Regions from separate parts of the Mus musculus genome. Here all the other regions are reported to be linked to region 2. Evidence: microRNA targets listed by miRTarBase, many of them from high-throughput screens and not tested one by one. Region 2 holds a microRNA gene; each other region holds the end of a gene's coding sequence. Distances are between the middles of the regions.

Evidence for each region. Region 2 holds the annotated microRNA mmu-miR-5125 (UCUGCCUGGGAUUUCCUUGU, at 2,437-2,456, shown strand). A microRNA usually pairs through its seed, bases 2 to 8, with sites in the 3' UTR of a target mRNA and lowers its output. Matches are read on the target gene's strand: a 7mer-m8 pairs with bases 2 to 8, a 7mer-A1 pairs with bases 2 to 7 and ends in A, and an 8mer does both.
Region 1: miRTarBase lists Nwd1 as a target of mmu-miR-5125. Seed matches in the 3' UTR shown: 7mer-A1 at 1,393-1,399 and 8mer at 3,149-3,156.
Region 3: the mRNA of Rpl7l1 is a reported target of mmu-miR-5125. Seed matches in the 3' UTR shown: 7mer-A1 at 348-354, 8mer at 338-345 and 7mer-A1 at 198-204.
Region 4: the mRNA of Yeats2 is a reported target of mmu-miR-5125. Seed matches in the 3' UTR shown: 7mer-A1 at 2,163-2,169.
Region 5: the mRNA of Pxmp4 is a reported target of mmu-miR-5125. Seed matches in the 3' UTR shown: 7mer-m8 at 3,416-3,422, 7mer-m8 at 3,397-3,403, 7mer-A1 at 2,776-2,782 and 8mer at 2,766-2,773.

Annotation. Positions count from the first base shown.
Region 1 is chr8:72,711,055-72,715,109 of GRCm38, forward strand. It overlaps Nwd1 (NACHT and WD repeat domain containing 1), which reads left to right. Exons shown (of 19, transcript NM_176940.5): 19 at 539-3,692. The coding sequence ends at 837. Among named protein-coding and RNA genes, the nearest start is that of Sin3b, 10 kb to the right of the region's middle.
Region 2 is chr17:23,820,903-23,824,962 of GRCm38, forward strand. It overlaps Mir5125 (microRNA 5125), which reads left to right and starts at 2,389; the gene lies at 2,389-2,467. Srrm2 (serine/arginine repetitive matrix 2) reads left to right here. Exons shown (of 15, transcript NM_001368687.1): 11 at 1-788; 12 at 1,511-1,798; 13 at 2,889-3,002; 14 at 3,114-3,218; 15 at 3,314-3,839. The coding sequence ends at 3,323. Elob (elongin B) reads right to left here. Exons shown (of 4, transcript NM_026305.2): 4 at 3,838-4,060. The coding sequence ends at 3,965.
Region 3 is chr17:46,774,712-46,778,766 of GRCm38, forward strand. Rpl7l1 (ribosomal protein L7-like 1) reads right to left here. Exons shown (of 7, transcript NM_025433.3): 5 at 3,699-3,808; 6 at 3,341-3,560; 7 at 1-1,025. The coding sequence ends at 3,352. Among named protein-coding and RNA genes, the nearest start is that of 2310039H08Rik, 4.1 kb to the left of the region's middle.
Region 4 is chr16:20,230,296-20,234,350 of GRCm38, reverse strand. Yeats2 (YEATS domain containing 2) reads right to left here. Exons shown (of 31, transcript NM_001145930.1): 31 at 1,778-3,586. The coding sequence ends at 3,478. Map6d1 (MAP6 domain containing 1) reads left to right here. Exons shown (of 3, transcript NM_198599.2): 3 at 1-1,042. Among named protein-coding and RNA genes, the nearest start is that of Gm41431, 4.3 kb to the left of the region's middle.
Region 5 is chr2:154,584,363-154,588,417 of GRCm38, forward strand. It overlaps Pxmp4 (peroxisomal membrane protein 4), which reads right to left. Exons shown (of 4, transcript NM_021534.3): 4 at 2,682-3,730. The coding sequence ends at 3,467. Among named protein-coding and RNA genes, the nearest start is that of Gm39963, 2.8 kb to the left of the region's middle.

The DNA.
Region 1 (4,055 bases), not on the chromosome of region 2:
AAACAAAACAAAAAAACAAAAAACAAAATAAAATAAAACAAAACAAAACCTTAACTGGCATGCCTACTGGGCTCTTTCCCTAGGACCAAGCTCTGATCTGAAGGGAAAAGAGTCACCTTGGGTCTTACTGGTCCTGTTTCTGCCTTTAGCTGGGCCCCTCAGCTTAGGAGGTGTATGCAGGACCTGATGGCCTGCTGCCATAGCACTCTTCTCACATGGTCTGTAGACCCCTTTGGAGACAGAACAGCCTTCTTCCCTGGGTCTCCATGAGGGTGGGTGTATACCCATATTCTATGGATGGTAATCATGTACTGGAGATGATGGACTTTGAGCCCAATGATTAGGTCAAACAGGGAGCCCCAGGGAGCATCCATGTCTGCCTCCAGAGCGCTGGGACTGCCAGTGTGCACCTCCACATGCATGCGTGTTAAGGGATTGAATTCAGGCCCTGTGTTTGCAGGCCAAGCACATTACCAGCTGCAATGTCCTTCCATCTCTGGGCCCCATTTTCTCATGGCTTGCCCTTTCCTGGTCACAGGCACTCTTTTGGCTGTCCAGTTTGTTCATGCTGTGATCAACCGAATCATCCCTACCTCCAATGGCTTCATGGCCCCCACAAGCCACGGCTATCTCATCCGTGAGCGCTTCCAGTGCCCGTCAGTCAGAGCCTCCCAGCAAGACCCTCTCAAGAACTTCAAGAAGGCAGTGTGGCTGGTAAAGACCAGGCAGAGGGAAGAGCTGGCTGCAGCAGAAGCCTCCCAGGATGCAGAACCAGTGGCCGTAGAGGGAAAGGAATCAAAGTCAAATAAACGCTCACAGGTCTGCCTCATACTCTGAAAGCCTACCAAGGCAGGGGCTTCAGTGACTTAGCCATGGCTCACCTGGTTGAAGCCAACTGACTCTCTCTGCTGGTGCCATGTGGACCCCCCCTTCCCCTCAACCATCTTCCATTTTTCCTCATAGCTTTTTCTGTGGGTTCTGAAGGCCTACTTCCTTCAAGTGAGCAGCAGCCTGCATCTCCCACCTTACTCTAAGAACTTGGCTCAAAGGCTTGGCTCTGCCTCTTAGTTGTACTGGTGCAATTCTTATCCCTGAGCCAGTTACTAGCTGTGAGAGGATCTGAAATCATTGTAGGGACCAAGAGTGACCTTGTCAAAGTGTTGTGTGATGGAGAGTGAAAGACTGCTGGGATGTGATGGGTGCTGTCCTGTCTTCATAGCAGTGAGCCTCCAGTAATAGCCCATAATCCATACTGCAAAGCCACACAGAGCATAGTTAAACACACAGCATAGTTAGTCTGTCTGCAGCTCCTGCTGTGAGACTCAAAATGGTGTGTAAAAAAAATCCTCCTAGGATCTGGTGGTGGCATAGCTTTCAATCCCAGCACTCAGGAGGCAGAGGCAGGAGGATTCCTGTGAGTTTGAGGCCAGCCTTAGGTTACATAGTAAGTTTCAGGACAGCCAGAGCTATGTAGAGAGAAAAGACTGGTGCTGGCTCAGGGCTTAAATCACCTTGCATCCCAGAATACAAGAACATTGTACACACTGTCACCAACCTGTAAGCCTAGCCTCAGGGAACAGGCTATTTTTGTTTCTTCCACTGCTGTGACTGAAAAACTCGACCAAAAGCAACTTAGAGGAGGAAATGGTTCATCTGGCTTTCACCCCCAGGCCACACACCCAGTTCTTTACTTAGGGAAGTCAGGGAACGAACTCAAGCAGGAACTGAAGGCAAGCCTGCTGGCTATTGCACACAGCATGACCTCTGACTAGGGGACTCAGCCGCGGTCATACAGCAGTGTCTCCGTCATTATCAATTAGTGATGGTCAAGAGACACCATGACCATGGCAAAGCAGTTAATGGGGTTGGGAGAACTGTTTATAGTTTCAAAGGCTTAGTCCACTGTCATCACGACAGGGAGCCTGGTGGCACACATGGCAGGCATGGTGCTGCAGGAATAGCTGAAAGATATATCATGAGAATCCTTTTAAACAGTTCCCTCTCCGGTGGCCAGACACTCAAATATATATGCCTCTGGGAGCCATTCTCACTCAAGACACAAGCCTGAACCACAGAGGATGTAGTTTCTGCCGTTCTCCTGATTAGCTAAGCTTTTTCATAAGCCCCAGAACCACTTACCACTCACAGTGGGCTCCCTCCTCCATCAGCTAGCAGTCAAGACAATGCCCCATGGACAGGCCCACACACCAGTCTGACCTGGGCAACCCTTCAATTAAGACTTGCTTCTCAGGTGACTCTAGGCTATGTGAAGTTGACAGTTAAAGCTAATAAGGTCATAGAGGATCCTGAGCATTCTGGCTAGCTAGCTAGACACATCTGTGAGCTCTGGGTTTGATTAAGAGACCCTGCCACAATGAATAAGGTAGAAGAGAAGTCAATGATTATTCCTGACTCAACCTCATGCCTTCAGATACACATCACATGTACCCACATGGGTGCTCAGGCACACATGAACACTCATGATGCCCACACCAGCCTCCATGTGTAGCCAAAAGTGCTGGCACAGTCTTATCCTCCTGCCTCCATTTCCTGCTTGGACAACTATAACCACTGTGCCCAGCTAAGATGCTGTCTCACTCAGTTCCCTGACACATCAGGACATGCTAGCATCTACCTGCTTTGCTGCCAGACCTTCTGCCTTGAAATGGCTTTCTCCACAGTGCTCACAGCCATCTAGTGAGCCGGTCTTGTGCCTGGAGCCTTGCTACAGCCAGACCTTAGAGGTGAGAGGCCCCCTTCACGCCATGGGACACTAGACAGACTCAGTGAAAGCAGCAGTAGAAACAGCTTGTTTTTCTGTGTTGGATACAGAACCAGGACTTGAAGGCAAGTGCTATATCTCAAGCCATACCCTGAGCCCTTACTGGGGGAATCCAGGAAGGGGCTTTACTGCTCAGTCACATTCCAGCTTCAAAATGAGGCCTTTGAAGATACCTTGTTCAGTTACTTCCCAAATAAGGATTCCAATGCATGCTTTAGCAATTCTGAAAATGTTAGTGTCAAATTTTATTTTTTTAAAAAAATTACTGGTTATGGCAAACAGAGGTTGTGTGCACCTTTAATCATAGCACTTGAGAGGCAGTGGCAGTGGCAGTGGCAGTGGCAGTGGCAGTGGCAGAAGCAGAGGCAGGCAGATTTCTGAGATCAAGGCCAGCCTGGTCTACAAAGTGAGTTCAGGACAGCCAGGGCTATACAGAGAATTCCTGTCTCCAACAGCAGCAGCAGCAGCAGCAACAACAACAAAGGTCTGGAGAGATGGCTCAGCAGTTTGATCCATCTTAGCCCCCACATCAGATGGCACACAAAAGGCCTTTTGGCCTTTGGAGATACCTGCCCAAACATACACACACACACACACACACACACACACAGAATTAAGATCAATATTTTTAAAAATTATGGGCCAATGAGCTGACTCAGTTGGTAACAGCACTTGCTACTCAGTCCCGATGGGCTGAGTTCAATCCCTGGCACTCAGAGAGTGGAAGTAGAGAGCCGACTTCAGAGTTGCTCTCTGACTCCACACATTCACTAAGGTAAGCACCATGGTGATGACACCCCCACCATGCACTCATATGCATACCAATAGTAGTAATAATATAATAACAATAAAATTAAAGATCTATTTTAAGCTGTAATTTAAAAATATATGCACATGTATTGAACAATAATTTGTTTGAGATTTTTAAAAATAATACTTTTTTACTAACATGTACTAATTGTAATATATTAATGAAGACCCACAAGATATTTTCAGCATGCAAGTAGCTGCAAACTTGGTCTTTGTTTTAAATCTACCTTCTGTCTCTGTCCAAAGCTGGTCCTCACAATTCCATATCCTTTTAAGTCAGGGTATGAGAGGGAATGAGGTTCGTCACTGTGCAGCCAACTTACTCATTGAACATGATGTCCTTCAGTTCTGTCTGTTTTGCTACAAATGATAGTCTCTCATGTTCTTCTCTATGGCTGTGAACTGTCCTATCACTGAGTGTACCACAGTCCTTTGTCCACCCACTTTGGTGTTGGTGACTGCT
Region 2 (4,060 bases):
CCAACTGCTGCAAATTACCCCTCCAGTTCCAGAACACCCCAGGCTCCAACCCCCGCAAACCTGGTGGTGGGTCCTCGATCTGCGCATGGCACAGCTCCTGTGAATATTGCTGGCTCTAGAACCCCTGCAGGCTTGGCTCCCACAAATCTCTCCAGTTCCAGGATGGCTCCAGCATTGTCTGGTGCAAACCTCACCAGTCCCAGGGTGCCCCTTTCTGCTTATGATCGTGTTAGTGGCAGAACCTCACCTTTAATGCTTGATCGAGCCAGGTCCAGAACACCACCATCTGCCCCAAGCCAGTCTAGAATGACCTCTGAGCGTGAGCGGGCTCCTTCCCCTGCTTCAAGAATGGTTCAGGCTTCTTCGCAATCTCTTCTCCCTCCTGCACAGGATCGGCCTCGGTCCCCTGTGCCATCTGCTTTTTCAGACCAATCTCGTTCAGTTGTCCAGACCACTCCTGTAGCAGGGTCTCAGTCCCTTTCATCCGGGACAGTAGCGAAGTCCACATCCTCTGCTAGTGACCACAATGGCATGCTTTCTGGCCCTGCCCCTGGGATATCCCATGCTGAAGGTGGGGAGCCACCTGCCTCTACTGGGGCCCAGCAGCCTTCTACATTGGCTGCTCTGCAACCAGCTAAGGAACGTCGGAGCTCTTCCTCCTCTTCATCATCATCTAGCTCCTCCTCCTCTTCATCATCTTCATCGTCATCCTCCTCTTCCTCTGGCTCCAGTTCTAGTGATTCAGAGGGTTCCAGCCTTCCAGCTCAACCTGAGGTGGCACTGAAAAGGTGAGGCAATTAAGGGATCTAGGGAGCAGGGACTTAACAATGGGTGGGTGAGTAGGGAGGGAGAAATCTTGTCAAAAGCACTTGGCTTTGAGAAAGTATGGGGGACCTTGGCCTTCAAGCTGGGAGTAGAAAGAATGTTGGGCGGGGGCTTTGTGGGGAGGAATGGGACAGATAAAAGTCTCCAAAGGTTAATTCTCCAGAGGATAATGATAAGTTTTCCATCTCTACAGAGGACAGAACTAGAGGAAATGGACTTAATTTTACAGCAGGAGGGATGGCAGTTAGACCTCAAGAGGAACTCCCTGGGCTGGAAGGATCTTCAGAGGTCATCCCATCCCTCTCCCTGCCTCCAGGCAGGACGGCCCCTCCCCAGCCAACCTGCACTCACAGGGGCCTCCCCAAGCTGCGGCTCTCCAAGGAAGGAGATCACCCAGCTTCAGCTTCCACATCTGAGTCCAGGGGCCTTAATCCTTCATCAGGGACATTCTTGAGGTTTAACCTTGATCCCTTGTGCTTCGGGCCCCAGCCTGTTGCTTGTGTTAGCAGAGGTTTGGTCAGCTCTGTGCCACTGCTCCAGAGAAGTACTACTCACTGGCCTGCCTTCGTGTTTTCCCAGGGCTTTTCTCAGGCACCCCTCCCCCACTGCCGTTCCTCCAGGCCAAGGAAGGTAGGGTTGGGGTTGGGGCATCTTGTCTCCTTGTGACACCTTTCTTCTCTCACAGGGTTCCCAGCCCCACCCCAGTCCCAAAGGAGGCTATTAGAGAGGGACGTCCTCAGGAACCAACCCCGGCCAAAAGGAAGAGGCGCTCTAGCAGCTCCAGTTCCAGCTCCTCCTCCTCCTCCTCTTCCTCTTCTTCCTCTTCCTCCTCCTCCTCATCTTCCTCCTCCTCTTCTTCCTCTTCTTCCTCCTCTTCTTCCTCCTCTTCCTCCTCCCCCTCCCCTGCTAAGCCTGGCCCTCAGGCATTACCCAAACCTGCAAGCCCCAAGAAGCCACCCCCTGGCGAGAGGAGGTGAGTGCTTTCTTGCCTGTTGTGGAAGGGGGGTTGGGGTGAGTTCTCCAGAAAGGGGACCCTGGGTGAGGTTCCTGCTGGGGTGCCTCGTGTGGACGTCTGTGACTGGTTGTACGGGAGAAGGAGTGCCGGACTCCTCCCATCCTCCCACAGTGTTGTATTCTGGTCAAGGGCTGCACTATCTAACTGAGGTGTCCCAGGCCATATCTGGGAAGTCATAGGATTCTTCCTCCCTCTCCCCTCCCCTGACAAGCAGCCTGGTCTCAGAGATCTAGCTCTAAGTCTCCCCATTGCTGCTGCAGGGCTCTGGTCTGGCCACCGTCATCTTCTCCCGACTCTGTCCACAGCCTCCTCCCTGTCTCCCTGCCTCCACGCCATTCTCTTCCACACGTAGCCAGAGGGATCTTTCTAAAACGCACATCTGGTTACTTCCCTTCACTCCACAAATCCTTCCGGAACGCCCTGTGGCCTGCAGGATAAAGTGCCACCTCTGCGGGAATGGCGTGTGAGGCTCTTCACCAGCTGCCCTTGCCCGCCCTGTGCTCCTCCTGCCCGCCCCCACACATGCCCCGTGCTCCGGCCATACCCAGCGCCTTGCAGTCTAAGGAGAGCCCCATGCCTTTGGACATGCTGTTCCTTCTGCCTGGGATTTCCTTGTCTGCCTGGTGAACTCGTTCTGCAAGACTGCATTCAAACAGCACCTCCGAGAAGACTGCCCTGCCATTTCCCTGTCCTGCCCAGGTCCCCATCCTTTCTCTGGATCCCCAGGCCCATGCATATCCATCCTGCTGGGCTGTTTCCTATGTAGGGGGCGTGTGTGCCTTCATTGTTAACCTTTACTACCAAACAAAATTCTTCCAAGGGCAGGGACTCTTTTATCTTTGCATCCCCCGCTGCACCCTGTGCCCTGTCCACTGGGGTACTCGGTGGATGGTGTGCGGGCGGATGGGTGAGTGCGGACAAAGGTGGGTCTGAGGCTGGCCCTGTGTGGTGTGAGGTTTGGTGGTCAGGACCTGGGTGGGTGGTCCTGAATGCTTGGCTGGTGGGTTTGGGAGGATGTGGAGCTATAGAGGCCTACTCTGCTTCCTAGGTCTCGAAGTCCTCGGAAGCCAATAGACTCCCTTCGGGATTCCCGATCCCTCAGTTACTCACCCGTTGAGCGTCGACAGCCCTCGCCCCAACCTTCACCAAGGGATCTACAGAGGTAGGGCCTATAGCAGGTGCTAGCAACCTGACTCAACTAGCTACCATTAATTTGTAAGCAAAATTTAAAAGTTTTTGGTATTGTTCTGTGACCTAATTTCTCCTCTTGTAGCAGTGAGCGAGTTTCCTGGAGAGGCCAGCGAGGGGACAGTCACTCTCCTGGTCACAAGAGGAAGGAGACACCTAGTCCCCGTTCTAATCGTCACCGCTCCTCCAGGTGTGTCTCCTTGGAAGTCTGGCCCTTCTGAGAGCTAGTAGTTAGGGATAGGGATATGTGTGGTGACCCAGAATGACCAGTCTTCTCTATTCCAGGTCTCCATAATCTGGATTCCACTACACCTCATACTCTGGAGACATGAGTATTCCTCATTTTTCCCAGAAGAATCATGGAAGGAGTCTTTGTATGCCTTCCCTTGAACCTTGGCAGCATCTTGAGGGGAGAGCGTCCTCTCCCACCCACCCTTTTTTTTTTTTTTTTTTTTTTTGGTTCCTGTGAAATGTTGATCTCTGTGAGTTTTTCCTGGTTCTTGTGTTTTGGGGGTTGGAGTGGGAGGGAGGGAGTCTAGGGAGGGAGGGGCACAGCTCAGGACATCTAGGCCTCAGATTGTGATGATCCAGGGAGTTAGCTCCCTAAATTCTTGGGTGACTGATGGTTTAACTTGGTAAGTTGTAATCTTTCCTGAAAGAGGAAGGAGCTGAAGTTGGTTGGCCCTGCTGCACCCCCTTACAAGGTTGTGAGGCCCTCTCCCCCCCAACTTTGTTTAAGGCATTTTGGTTTTTTAAAATCTGTACAGTAAAAGCAACTTTTTCTGTCAAATAAAAATGAGAAATGCAGTAATTGGTCTGTAGTCTTTACTTGGGGTTAAGAGTTCTGTGAACAAGAGGGAACAGAAAAGTCAATCAGGTAGACAGCCAAATTTTTTTTATTGGGGAAATGGGTCTCTAGGGGGTAGGCCTAGGCCCTCACTGCACAGCTTGTTCATTGGCACTGCCTCCAGAATCCTGTGGCTTCATCACATCTGGAAGCTCTGGAGGGCTGGAAAAGGGCTCGATGCGGAG
Region 3 (4,055 bases), 23 Mb from region 2:
AATGATCAGTTAACACTGATCCAGGTGAAATTTAGTGGGCATTTCCTGGGTACATGTGGTTTAGGAAACAACAATCTATCACTGCATTGGTTTTTGTTTTGTTTTTTTTCTGAGACAGGGTTTCTCTGTGTAGTCCTGGCTGTCCTGGAACTCACTCTGTAGACCAGGCTGGCCTCGAACTCAGAAATCCGCCTGCCTCTGCCTCCCGAGTGCTGGGATTAAAGGTGTGCTCCCCCACTGTCCAGCTTTTTGTTTATCTTTAACATTTTCTCTATGTGTAGCCCTGGGTATCCTGGAAATCTGTAGAGCAGGCTTGCCTGTCCCTGAACTCATGAAGTCTGCCTGCCTCTGCCTCCCAAGCGCTGCAACTAAAGGTATACACACCAGGCCCAGGCAAACACTAGTTTTTAATAGAAGACAAGTGATTAAACTTCAGTCCCCTCCGGTAGCACAGAATGCAACTAGCTTAACAGACCAATGTGCATAAAAATGCAGGCTGTAGCCGGGCGTGGTGGCGCACGCCTTTAATCCCAGCACCTAGGAGGAGGAGGCAGGACTGCTGTGGAGTATAAGGCCAGCCAGGGCCAACAGGGAGACCCTGCTTTGAACAAAGCAAACACAAGACTGCCTACCCTGACAAAAATAAAAAGTAAAACCGGGACCCTCTTGATCCATGTTCAAGTGCGCCGCTTGGTCTGGCCCACTGCTCTAACAGTCTTGGAGGGGGTGGGAGGGAGGTTTGTGCTTGTTGCCCACCCAACATTAAACACCAAGATAGAAGGCAGGATGAGCAGGGTAATTCTTTCCTCCACAGCTTGCGTGGATTTCGAGACAGGCAGCCAATGAGGGAACTCGTCCTTCCATGGACTGAGCTGTGTTAAGTGTCTCCGGTGCTCGCACCTTACTGTCGTTCTCTAGGCCCAAGCCTTCCTTCAGTTTCTGAAGGCAGAAAATAATCTTCTCTGAAGATACTTGATAATTTTAAACGACGACAAAAACACTTCCGAGGGGTGCTTTTGGAAAACCTAAGGAGGGAAAACACAGCTGTGTCAACAAACCAATCTCAACTTGGGTCTGAGAGAACAGCGACAGAGTGTTCCAGTCGCGATCCTTCAGCAGAACAGGTAACCAACCGGCCTGCATAGTCCTTCTGAAATCAGTTTCTGATGTGATTCCTCCTCCACTGCAGGCTAAAAGTCCACAGCAACATAGACATTTTCTAGCCCGTGACCTAACAGAGCTGTATCAGGCATTGTCCCTTTCCAACAGGTCAACACACAGGCTTGTTCCTGTTTTCACACAGAACAACTCTCATTCTTCAAGTGCCAGGGTCAACTGCTAACTAGCTCTCCAGCGTACAGAGGGACTTCTAGTTGACAAGCATGGCCCACCAAAAGTCAGACAAGGTGCCAACAAGATGGCTCAGTGAGTAAGACTGCTGGCCACAAAGACTACCCAGTAAAGATTCTCAGAACCAATAGAGGAGAGAAGTGTCCTCTGACCTACCCCAGTGCTGGGTTTGGCATGGCCTCAGCAGGGGACAGAATGACATGGCTCTCGGCACCTGTATAGGGCCAGCAGGTGTGAGCCTCCATGAGTGTTGACGGCTGCTATGGGCATAAGGCCTCTTTGTATAATAATGTTTGTATAATGACTTACATTCCTCAGGAATGTTATCCCAGTTAGCGTTAATGCTAGTGATAACCAGTCAGCATGCATCAGGGGTGAAGGTATGGATGGCTGAGGTCTCAACAAAAAGGGAAATGCTGGGACATTCATGACAGCACTTAAGTTTGTGAAAAAGGACTCTTAAAAACATGGGTTCAGGGCTGGCGAGATGGCTCAGTGGATAAGAGCACTGACTGCTTTTCCGAAGGTCCTGAGTTCAAATCCAGCAACCACATGGTGGGTCATAACCACCCGTAATCCCATAATGAGATTTGACATCCTCTTCTGGCACATCTGAAGACAGCTATAGTGTACTTAAGTAAGAGATGGCTCAGTGGTTAAGAGCATTGACTGTTCTTCCAGAGGTCCCGAGTTCAATTCCCGGCAACCACACAGTGGCTCATAACCATCTGTAATGGGGTCTGATGCCCTCTTCTGGTGTGTCTGAAGACAGCGACAGTGTACTCATATAAATAAAAATAAAAAAACTGCTGGGCTTGGTGGCTCATGCCTTTAATCCCAGCACTCGGAAGGCAGGGGCAGGTGAACTTCTGAGTTCGAGCCCAGTCTGGTCTACAAAGTGAGTTCTAGGACAGCCAGGGCTATACAGAGAAACTGTCTCAAAAAACCAAAATAAGTAAATAAATAAAATAAATAAATAAATTTAAAAAAAAAAAAAAACCACCGGGCGTGGTGGCACACGCCTTTAATCCCAGCACTTGGGAGGCAGAGGCAGGCGGATTTCTGAGTTCAAGGCCAGCCTGGTCTACAGAGTGAGTTCCAGGACAGCCAGGGCTATACAGAGAAATCCTGTCTCGGAAAACAAATAAACAAAACAAAAAACAAAAAAATAAAACGGGTTCAAAAATATATAATTTCTGGCTGGTGAGATGGCTCAGCGGTTAAGAGCACTGACTGCTCTTCCAGAGGTCTTGAGTTCAAATCCCAGCAACCATATGTGGCTCACAACTACCCATAATGAGATCTGCCACCCTCTTGTGGTGTGTGTGAAGACAGCTACAGTGTACTTACATACATGAGGGGCTTAACAAATCTAAAGGAACAAAAGCAGCTGCGCTGCGAGCCAGCTTGTTTGTCAGAAAGATACTAAGGAAGGAGATAAAGAGATTTAGGGAGTGGTGACCACTAAGTTGTTATTTTTGTTGCTGTTTATGCTTACAAAGGCAGACAGATTCCTGAGTCCAGGGTGACTTGGGACAGAGCAAGGTTAGACCCAGGTGTGATACAAGTGGTAATTTCAGGACCCGGTCCCACAAACTAGCTCCCTGTCTGTGATAACAGAGGCAGGCAGATATCTGAATTCTTTTGCAAAGTTAAAAGAAAAGGTCCATTTGCAGTCTCCTAAGAATTAAGGAGCTGTGGTCAAGGGAGGCTGATTCATAGGAACCTGGAGTAACTATCTGGATTGATTTGTAAAATAAAAAGCTGTGCCTATAATCTGCAAGAGACGAGCTATCCAGTCTCAAGCAGAACAGAGAGGAGGCTGGCCAAGTGTCTGGAGCAGGGCACAGGCTGCCAGCTTGGACCCAGCACCTGACTTTGAGCTGTTTGTTTCCCCGCTCCCAGTCACCCCTTCTCAGGCCCTCTCCGAGCCGAGGCTGGTGTCTGGCGACACAAGCGCTGTGCAGCAGGCAGCACACACTCGCCTCACCTGCTCCTGCTCTAGTTGAGCTGCCGAATGAGCTGATTGATCCGATCTCCCCGGTAGCCCGGGGAGCCCATCTCTTTGCGGAAGCCCACTCTGTTCCTGGTAGCATGGCGGGCCACAGAGAGGAGGAAAGGGCACAGAAATGAAGAGACCTCCTGGAAATGCTTCCCAGGGAAGGCAATTTCATGGATGAGGTCTTCCAGGCAAATGACACCAAATCTCCCTGAAAAACAAGAGGGTGTAGATTTCTGTGTTCACCACCTAGCCAGTATAAAGGGGGGAAAAACCCAAAAGGCTGGGACTGTCAGGTCCAAGAATACACCCTGGATCGCAGCCACCAAGCCCAGGCCACAGCACTCACCCAGGTGCTCCTCGATCACCGTGTTGTCCGTCAGAGGGACTGTCTTATTGTTAATCTTTGCTTGGCCACGTTTCAAGATGAGCTCCCGGACAGACTTCAGATTTGGAAATCTACATAGGCATAACAGGGACACTAAGAACTGACTGAGCAGAGAGCTACAGGACCCTCCCACACCCACCTCCCACAAGCAGGGAGTAGACTATTGGGCGACCCAACTGAGAAGATGGCCGAAAAGCAGAGCAGCTAATGCCTACAGAGCAGCTAATGCCTGCAACTCTAGACACTGAGGCTGGAGGGCCCTGAGCTGTACAAAGTCTGAGGTGAGCCACCTAAGCAGTCAACCGAAAATCCCAGCAT
Region 4 (4,055 bases), not on the chromosome of region 2:
CAGAGCTGCAGATGCTTCCAGTGTTGCAGGTGTTACCTTCTTTCCACTTCAGCTCTCCTGCATACTTAAGTGGGAAAAGGGGCCATCTGTGCCACTGCTGCTTCCTCACTGGCAGGGACAGTGAGCACTCCACTTCTGCACCTGAAAGTGAGACTGCTATTACCTATACCCTGCTGGCTTGTTAGGACATCCTCCGGAAAGCCAGCCAAGCATGGCTCCCCAATAGTCCTTTCCACTTTAACTCTTCCAGGTACCTTTTGGTCCTGCTGTAGCCACTGGCATGCCCCAGCTAAAAGCCTCCAGCTGTACACTGCTAGTGACCGCACCACATGTCCAGCAACCCCACCCCCTGCATTCACTCTTGGTGTAGAGATGCATGACCTCAGCAGTGTGCCACAAAGCTCTTCTCACCAGTCCTCCTGAGGAATGAAACCCTGCCCTTAGGAAGTCCCTCCTCATTGCAGATCTGAGTATGGTCACATGGTTCCACGAACAACCAAGAAGCCACCAAGGCCAATGTCAGCCTTGTTCTCTTAGTTCTGAGTCCACCTTACACACAATGTGCACAAAGACCAGAAAAATACACTGGAGGATGAGCAGGGCTCATCTCTGAGAAAGGAGTGTGTATATGGCGTTATATGTACGTGTGTATTCCTGTATATATGGGGATGTGTGTTCATGTATGTGCAGGCACGTGTAGAGGACAGAGGACAACTCAGAGTATTCTTCAGGTACCCTTCATTTTTCTCACTGGCCCAGGGCTCGCCAAGTAGCTTAGGCTGCTTGTATAGCAAGCCTCAAGTGATCTGCCCATCTCTGCTGCCTCTCCAGTGCTCAGATTTTAAGTGTGCACCACCATGCCTGCCATTTTTATGTGGGTTCTGGTGACTGAACTCAGGTACTGCATGCACTTCAACTGAGCCATCTCTCCAGCCCAAATTTTTAAAAATACTTTATCATACCTGCTAAAATTCCTATAAATTTAATAACTTTTATATTCTGTAAGTTTTGAAAAATAAAGCACTTTAATCTGTTAATTTGAGAAGAGTATTCAATATTAATTATTCCATAACCACAATGTGGGAACTGCCTCAATCAGGTGTGTGTACATTATAAGGTCAACTAATCAGAAAGCCTGAAAGTCCAATAACATGCTGAAGGAAGGTCTTACCTCTCCATACTTTGAGGGACAGAACTCAGGACTTCTGGCTTCTACTGGATAGGGTATGCTACCCGAAGCCCAGGGCGCTGTCAGCACCCACACTGTCCTGTGCCCCCAGCTAGCCTTACTCTCCAGGGCTCTGCTTTGTTGCTTCCCAGCCAGCTACCTCTGTGGACTGTATCCCCAATGCCTCTTCAGAGAAACTCCCTTGTGAAAGCCACAGATTTCAGAGCCTTTAGTTCTGGTGTGTCTGCACTGTTACATACTTGTTTATAAGACTTGCATCCTGGGAGTGATTCAGAGCTTAGCACAGACCAACTTTATTTCACCAGATAAACTAGCTTGTTAGACAAAGAGTCTGCTTTTTTGAGAAACTGAACCCATTTATTCATTTTCCTTTACCCCAAATTGCTTGTATGAAATAATTATGCTCACGGTTTTGTAAGTGACCTGAATGTAACTGTGGTCCTTTTATATTGCATGGTTGCATCTTCTTTTTCTTTCTTTCTTTTTTTTTTAGGGAAGTAGAGATATCAATTTAAACTTACAAAGACTCATACCACAACCACCTCTCTCAATGAGCCCATCTAAGTACGGTGCTTCCAGCTCAGAAAACCCATTGCAAATACTAAACGTTTTATTGTAGACAAAATGATACACAATTATTACACATTATGATTTAAAAAAACACTTGAAAGTTTAACATACACAGAAACTGTTAAATCATTTGATTTTTTTTTTTTTAGCAAAAAAGTAATTTCTTTAGGTTTTTTATCACAACAAATGAATCTGCTCTCATTGGGATACTCTACCTTGTAAGTCTCTGTCCACTTCTGAACAAATCTGTGCCAGCATATCAATCTGCTGTATGGTCTTAGACCAAATTCTTGTTTTTATTTTTTTTTTGTTTTTTTGAGACAGGGTTCCTCTGTGTAGCCCTGGCTGTCCTGGAACTCACTTTGTAGACCAGGCTGCCCTTGAACTCAAAAATCCGCCTGCCTCTGCCTCCCGAGTGCTGGGATTAAAGGCATGCGCCACCACGCCTGGCATAGACCAAATTCTTAAGCCTTATATACCCAATTATAGCAGTAAGCTGTGCTTGCCCAGTCCCTGCACGGTAGATCCCTTGGTACCTGCAGCTCTCAGGTACGGAAGGAAAGGTCTATTTCCCTGCAGTGTTTCCTGACTCACACATCGACCTGCAGGACCTGACACAACAGGCTTTATGTTGCTTACTTAGCTGGGTTTCTTTGACTTTTACTCAGATATTTCAAGTTTCCTTTGAGCAGACAAAGAGCAGGTTTACAACTGAGGCTGAGGTCTTTCCTGTGTCCCCATAATAGTCAGGAGGACTGGGGAGTCCCCAGTGTGTGCACACTGTGTAGTGATGCTAGAGGCTCGTGTGTGCAGCTCTCACTGAGGGCTCTGCTTCTGAACATTAGCACAGTGGGTTAGAGCAGTTCTTCCCATGTAAGGCACTCACAGGTGTTTCAACCCTTTTCATCTTGGTAAAACTCTTTGGCAGAGAAGGACAGGACTCCGGTCCACCAAGAGGACAATCCTATAAAGTCTGCACTGAGGCTGCCTCCCTCCCCTTGACCTGAGGCAGTGGCAGGGGCTTCTGAATCCCAGATGGAGGAGGACCACACATGGCTCAAGTGCCTGACTTTGAGGTTGATACCCACACTGACACTTGTAGTCCCTGGGTTACACGACACAGGCCTCTGCTGGGACCCCTCAACACGGCCGTGACACAGGCTGTCACTGCACTAGCGTCATGGTTCCGTGGAAGAGTCTCACTGCAGCCTCCTTGGCCTCCCACATGGCGTATTACCTTCTCTGTAGCTGACTCACACCAGCCAAGAGTGCAGCCCTTCTACGCTGAGGCAAGGCGGGAGAAGGTACTCGTTGCTGGTCTTCTTCAGAGTTCCCCAGCCCAGCATGGCGGGCTTATCTTTGCCTTCTGAAAAGCAGGCCCCAGGTGAACCCACGCACAGCCCACAGAGGGACCGAGCACCCCGTGCATGTGCCTTGTCTCACACCAAGACCCCGCAGAGCCTTGTGGGAGTAAAGAAATGCAAACTGACGAAGCCGTGTCCATTCAGCTTCCCTCCAGAATTGGGAAACAACTCTGTCCTAAAAGGGGGGCACCTGGAACTCGATGCCCTTGTGTAATACGCAGTTAGATGGAAGGAATGGTCTGGCAACCGTGGCGTTCCAACACAGAAAACACCAGCTTTCCTCAAACACGAGGGTCACAGTCTGCACACTGCAGACACAGCCTCTCCCGCTTTTCAGGGATCTCTTCGCTGTATTCACTGATCCTCATTCAGTCTCCCCATGTGTTTGTTTGTAAGAAAATCCAGAAAAGGAATGTTGCAAATGGCCTGATGAATATTACTCACTGTAATTTCTTTGGGAATCCTAGTCCAAAAAACAAAAAAACAAAAACAAAAAACAAAACCCAAAAGTGTAATTAGGTATAATTTGTCAAACGAATTCAGGAATAATTTCAGTGAATTAATAGACTGAAGGGACCATTCTCTTATAGAAGGAGGTGATGGCAAAGGCTTGAGGCCGGTCTCTCTCTCACTTATGAATTCTTCTCCATCTAGAGTCCTATCCAGGACTCAATCTTACTTTCTGGACACAGTAAGTTTGCCGGCCAAATGATTAGCTGACAGAAAAGAAAGAGGATATAGACAGAGGAGAATGGTGTGCGTCTAAGTCTAAGCAGATTGAAGTTTGTCTCAAAGCACCATAATGATACAGACCCATTTCTTATCTCAGGGGATGGGAGAGTCCTGGCTAGCCAAGCGTGGCGATACACGCTCTCATCCGAACCACCCAGTTTGCTACATCTCCAGTCAGGAACACAGAAAGCATGGCTCCT
Region 5 (4,055 bases), not on the chromosome of region 2:
ATGTCATCACAACACCCCTTTTACAGATGAGGCACAGATGGCTAAGCCACTTCATCCGTCAGGGCTCCAACCTGAGCATGCTGGCTCCAAAGCCCTTACCCCTTGCAACTGTCTATACTGCCTCTTAGTGTATTGACTAGTAGCCAATTTTAGTTTGGGTTTTTCTCCAATAATAAAGCCCAAGACAAGGGTTTGTGTGCAAGTGACGCACTGTCCCAGCAGATGCAATGGATGTGGCGTTGAAGGAGATAGTTTCCACCATGGGCACCTGGAGTCCAGCCCTGCTTGGAGCTCTAGCAAGCAGCACGCAGAGTGTATGGAGGGTTATCTCTTCTGAGGGCTGGGAGCTGCCTGTGATGATATTTCTTAGTGCTGGCCTAATGCTGCTCAAGGGGCATATTAATCTCTAAAACTTCACACCTGCCGCAGAGTGGTAAATCAGGCACCAGGAGTGGGATCCCTCAGGCGGGGGTGGGGGGGTGGGGGTGGGGACACCGGAGTGGCGACTGGAGAAGCCAGGTATGAAGAGAAGAGAGGATGGCAGGGCTCCCCATCATCTAGACTAGACCTGCCTGGCAATGGCCGTCTCCTGACGGGCTCCAGCGCTGGTTCATCTTCCAGTTCCAGCAGAGAAAGCAGCTCTTCCAAACGATCTGCTCTGAACTCGCAGGGAACGGCCGTGGCTGAGAGCACTGGGGAGTCAGAGAGAGCCTCTGCTGCCCTGCAGCTCTGTGACTGGTCAGTGACCTGGGACAACTGCCATTCACCACCCCCTCAGCAAGCTGGCGGGGCTCCTAGAACAGTACCCACAGCTTGGGAAACTTATAAGACATACCTTGGACCAGCTCCAGACCCCCTGGGTCAGAATTTGCATTGTATTCATTCATTCATTCATCCACTCATTCATTCATGTGTTCATGAGATAGGGTCTCAGTCGTCCAGGCTTCCAACTTGCTTTGTAGCAGAAAATGACGTTGAGCTCCCTTCCTCTTGCCCCCACCTCCCAGGTGCTGTGAATATGGGCGTTTGTCTCCATGCCAGCCCAGAATCCGCACAGTGATGAGCACTCCAGCGACTCGAGTAGACTTCTACTGGTCATTTCAGTCACATAAAAAGACAGGAGGAGAGGGCACGGTGGAAGGAATGCACTGCACCAAACCAAGTGCCTCAAATCGGTAGCCTCCGGACCAGGCTTTTCTGAGAGCTGTTTTGTTCCTTCAGATGAATGGTTTTTAAAAATTCTGCCTGGCACACAATTCTCCAGTCCACTGTGCCCCATTCCCCCCCGTGCCATAGCACCCCAAGCACTTTCCATTTATGCCACCAAGAGCTCCTGTGAGCATCTGGGTTGGTGTCAAATGTCAGATGCTATAATCAACGACTGCAAAGCACGGCTAAGGTTTTCTAGGTTTAATGCGGGGCACTGAAGGAAACACGGGCTTCAAAGTCAGGCAGGCTGTTCAAATCATCCTGAGACCACATACCTGGAAAACATGGATCAGCGTGCATCCTTGCAAGGTTACTAGGGATTAAAGACAATCATATGCAAAGCAGTCAGGAGGAAGGAGAAACTCGCTATGCTGAAGTCACTGGTATAGTGGCTCTCAGGTGCTGCCAAGTGTCCAGGGTGGGCATCGGGTTAGCAGGGCTGGAGGTGCTGAGAGTTGGAGAGCCTTCCCCGGGGATGCATCACAGAGTGGGGGCAGGGCTCAGACTGTGTCTTTAGTTCCAGATTTTCAGTGTCCTCCGGAACCTTCTGTGAGGATAACCGTGTGACCTGGTGCACGCAGAACACACTGGCAGTGTTGAGGACATACTTCAAGAAAGGCTGTTACCAATCTTTTATATTAACATATGTAGCAATGGCACAGTTTGGGAAATATTGAGTTAAAATATACACGATTAAAGGTCTGAGGCTGGAGAAATGGCTTAGTGGTGAAAGGCACTTAGTTCACCAGGCAGTCCACGTCTTTAATCCCAACACTGGGAGGCAGAGGCAGTCTGAGTTCGAGGCCAGCCTGGTCTACAGAGTTAATTCCAGGACAGCCAGGGCTACACAGAGAGACCCTGTCTGGGGAAAAAAAAAAAAAAAAAACCTCAAACAATCATACAACAACAACAACAACAACAACAACAACAACAAACTTAAGTGCTCTTGCAGACGACCAAGACCAAGCTTCATTTCCCACATAGTGGCTCACAACACCCATACCCTCAGTTCCAAGGAACTCAGCGCCCTCTGCTGACTTCTGCTGGTACCACACACACGCATGGTACACAGATGTACATGCAGGCAAAATATATGATTAAGATTAATTTTACATGTTCTTTAATGTTTTATTATATTTTCATTTATTTATTGTATATGTGCGTGTGTGTGTGTGTGTGTGTGTGTGTGTGCACGTGTGCATGCACACATGCCAAGGCACACATGTGGGGGCAGAGGACAACTTGCAGGAGCTGGTTCTCTTCTTCCACCATGTCACCATGTAGAACACAGGGATCAAACTCAGGTCGCCAGGCTTGGCTGCAACCATCTTGACTCACTGAGCCATCTCCTTGGACGCCCACCCCCGCCTTTTTTTGAGACAGAGGTTGTTTGTTTGTTTGTTTTTTAATGTATCGCAGCCTGGCCTGGAGCTCACAACCCTACTGCCACAGCCTTTTTTTTTTTTTTTTTTGGTTTTCCGAGACAGGGTTTCTCTGTGTAGCCCTGGCTGTCCTGGAACTCACTCTGTAGACCAGGTTGGCCTCGAACTCAGAAATCTGCCTGCCTCTGCCTCCCGAGTGCTGGGATTAAAGGCGTGCGCCACCACTGCCCGGCCACAGCCTTCTTAATGCATCTCAAAAAATGTGGACACTTGAAGTTTTATTCTCAGTGCTGGTGATAGGATCCTGCGTCTCATACAAGCTTGACACGTGCTGTGCACGTGACTCATCTAGTGCTCCTATTTGACAGTAGGGCTCCAGAACTTCTCAGCAGAATAATTTAGACAAAGAATTTAGTTTTTTTTTCCCCTTTCAAAGTGTTTGTAACCTATTGCCCACTAGCAAGGAGCCCTCTGATATACAGTAGAGGGGAAGGGCCATCATATCCACCAGGAAGACACTCTCCTCGGAGGGTCCTCCCCTGAAGTGAATGACCTGAAGCTGAGAGGGGGTGAGTTTGCCCTGGCCTTACAGAAGTCGGAAGAGCATCTGGAATCAAGCCACAGACTCCTTAATGGGACCCAGCCACTTGCTACAGTACTCAAAAGTACTGGTAAGTGGAAAACTCAGTACTTTTACTTCAGCAAATGGGAGCCTGGGTTAATACAAGTTGGAGTGTGAGGATTATGACTTTGAGAAGGCAGGCTCCTCCACGAGGGTATGCCAACAGAACCATACCCTGAGCAGCTGCCTGGAAGGTGGGCTGCTGCCTGGAAGCTGTCTGGGCGGAGGAGTTCCTGAAGCACCTTGGACTGTGTTACTTGGAGGGGTGGCTCTTGTTGAAGATGAGGAAGTCTGAGAGGTCGTGCCACACGTTGCTGTCCTCGTAGAGGTAGGTCATGGAGGACTGTAGGGAGGGCTGCAGAGTGGGCCGGTGGTACTCAAAAAGCCACAGCACGAGCCCCCAAATCACCGCAGTGTGCAAGGGGAACGGGTCCCACTTGAGCGCAGGGATATAGCCCTTCTCCACACCCAGGCGGCACAAGGCGTACAGGACGCGTGAGGTCAGGTACATGTTGATCTGCAGGGAGGGAAATGCTCAGGGTTACTCGTCAGCACAGCCTCTGGGGACCTTCACCTGCCCACCCGACCACAAGCACTGGACATCCACCGCGCACTGGCTCTGTGACTTTCAAAGTTAACATGCAAGATGATTGATGTGGCATGGCTCAGACATCTTAATATTTCCCTTTCTTTCTTTTTTCTTTTCTTTTCTTTTCTTTTCTTTTTTCTTTTTTGGTTTTTCAAGACAGGATTTCTCTGTGTAGCCCTGGCTGTCCTGGAACTCACTCTGTAGACCAGGCTGGCCTTGGAGATCTTATAGATCCTCCTGCCTTTGCCTCTCA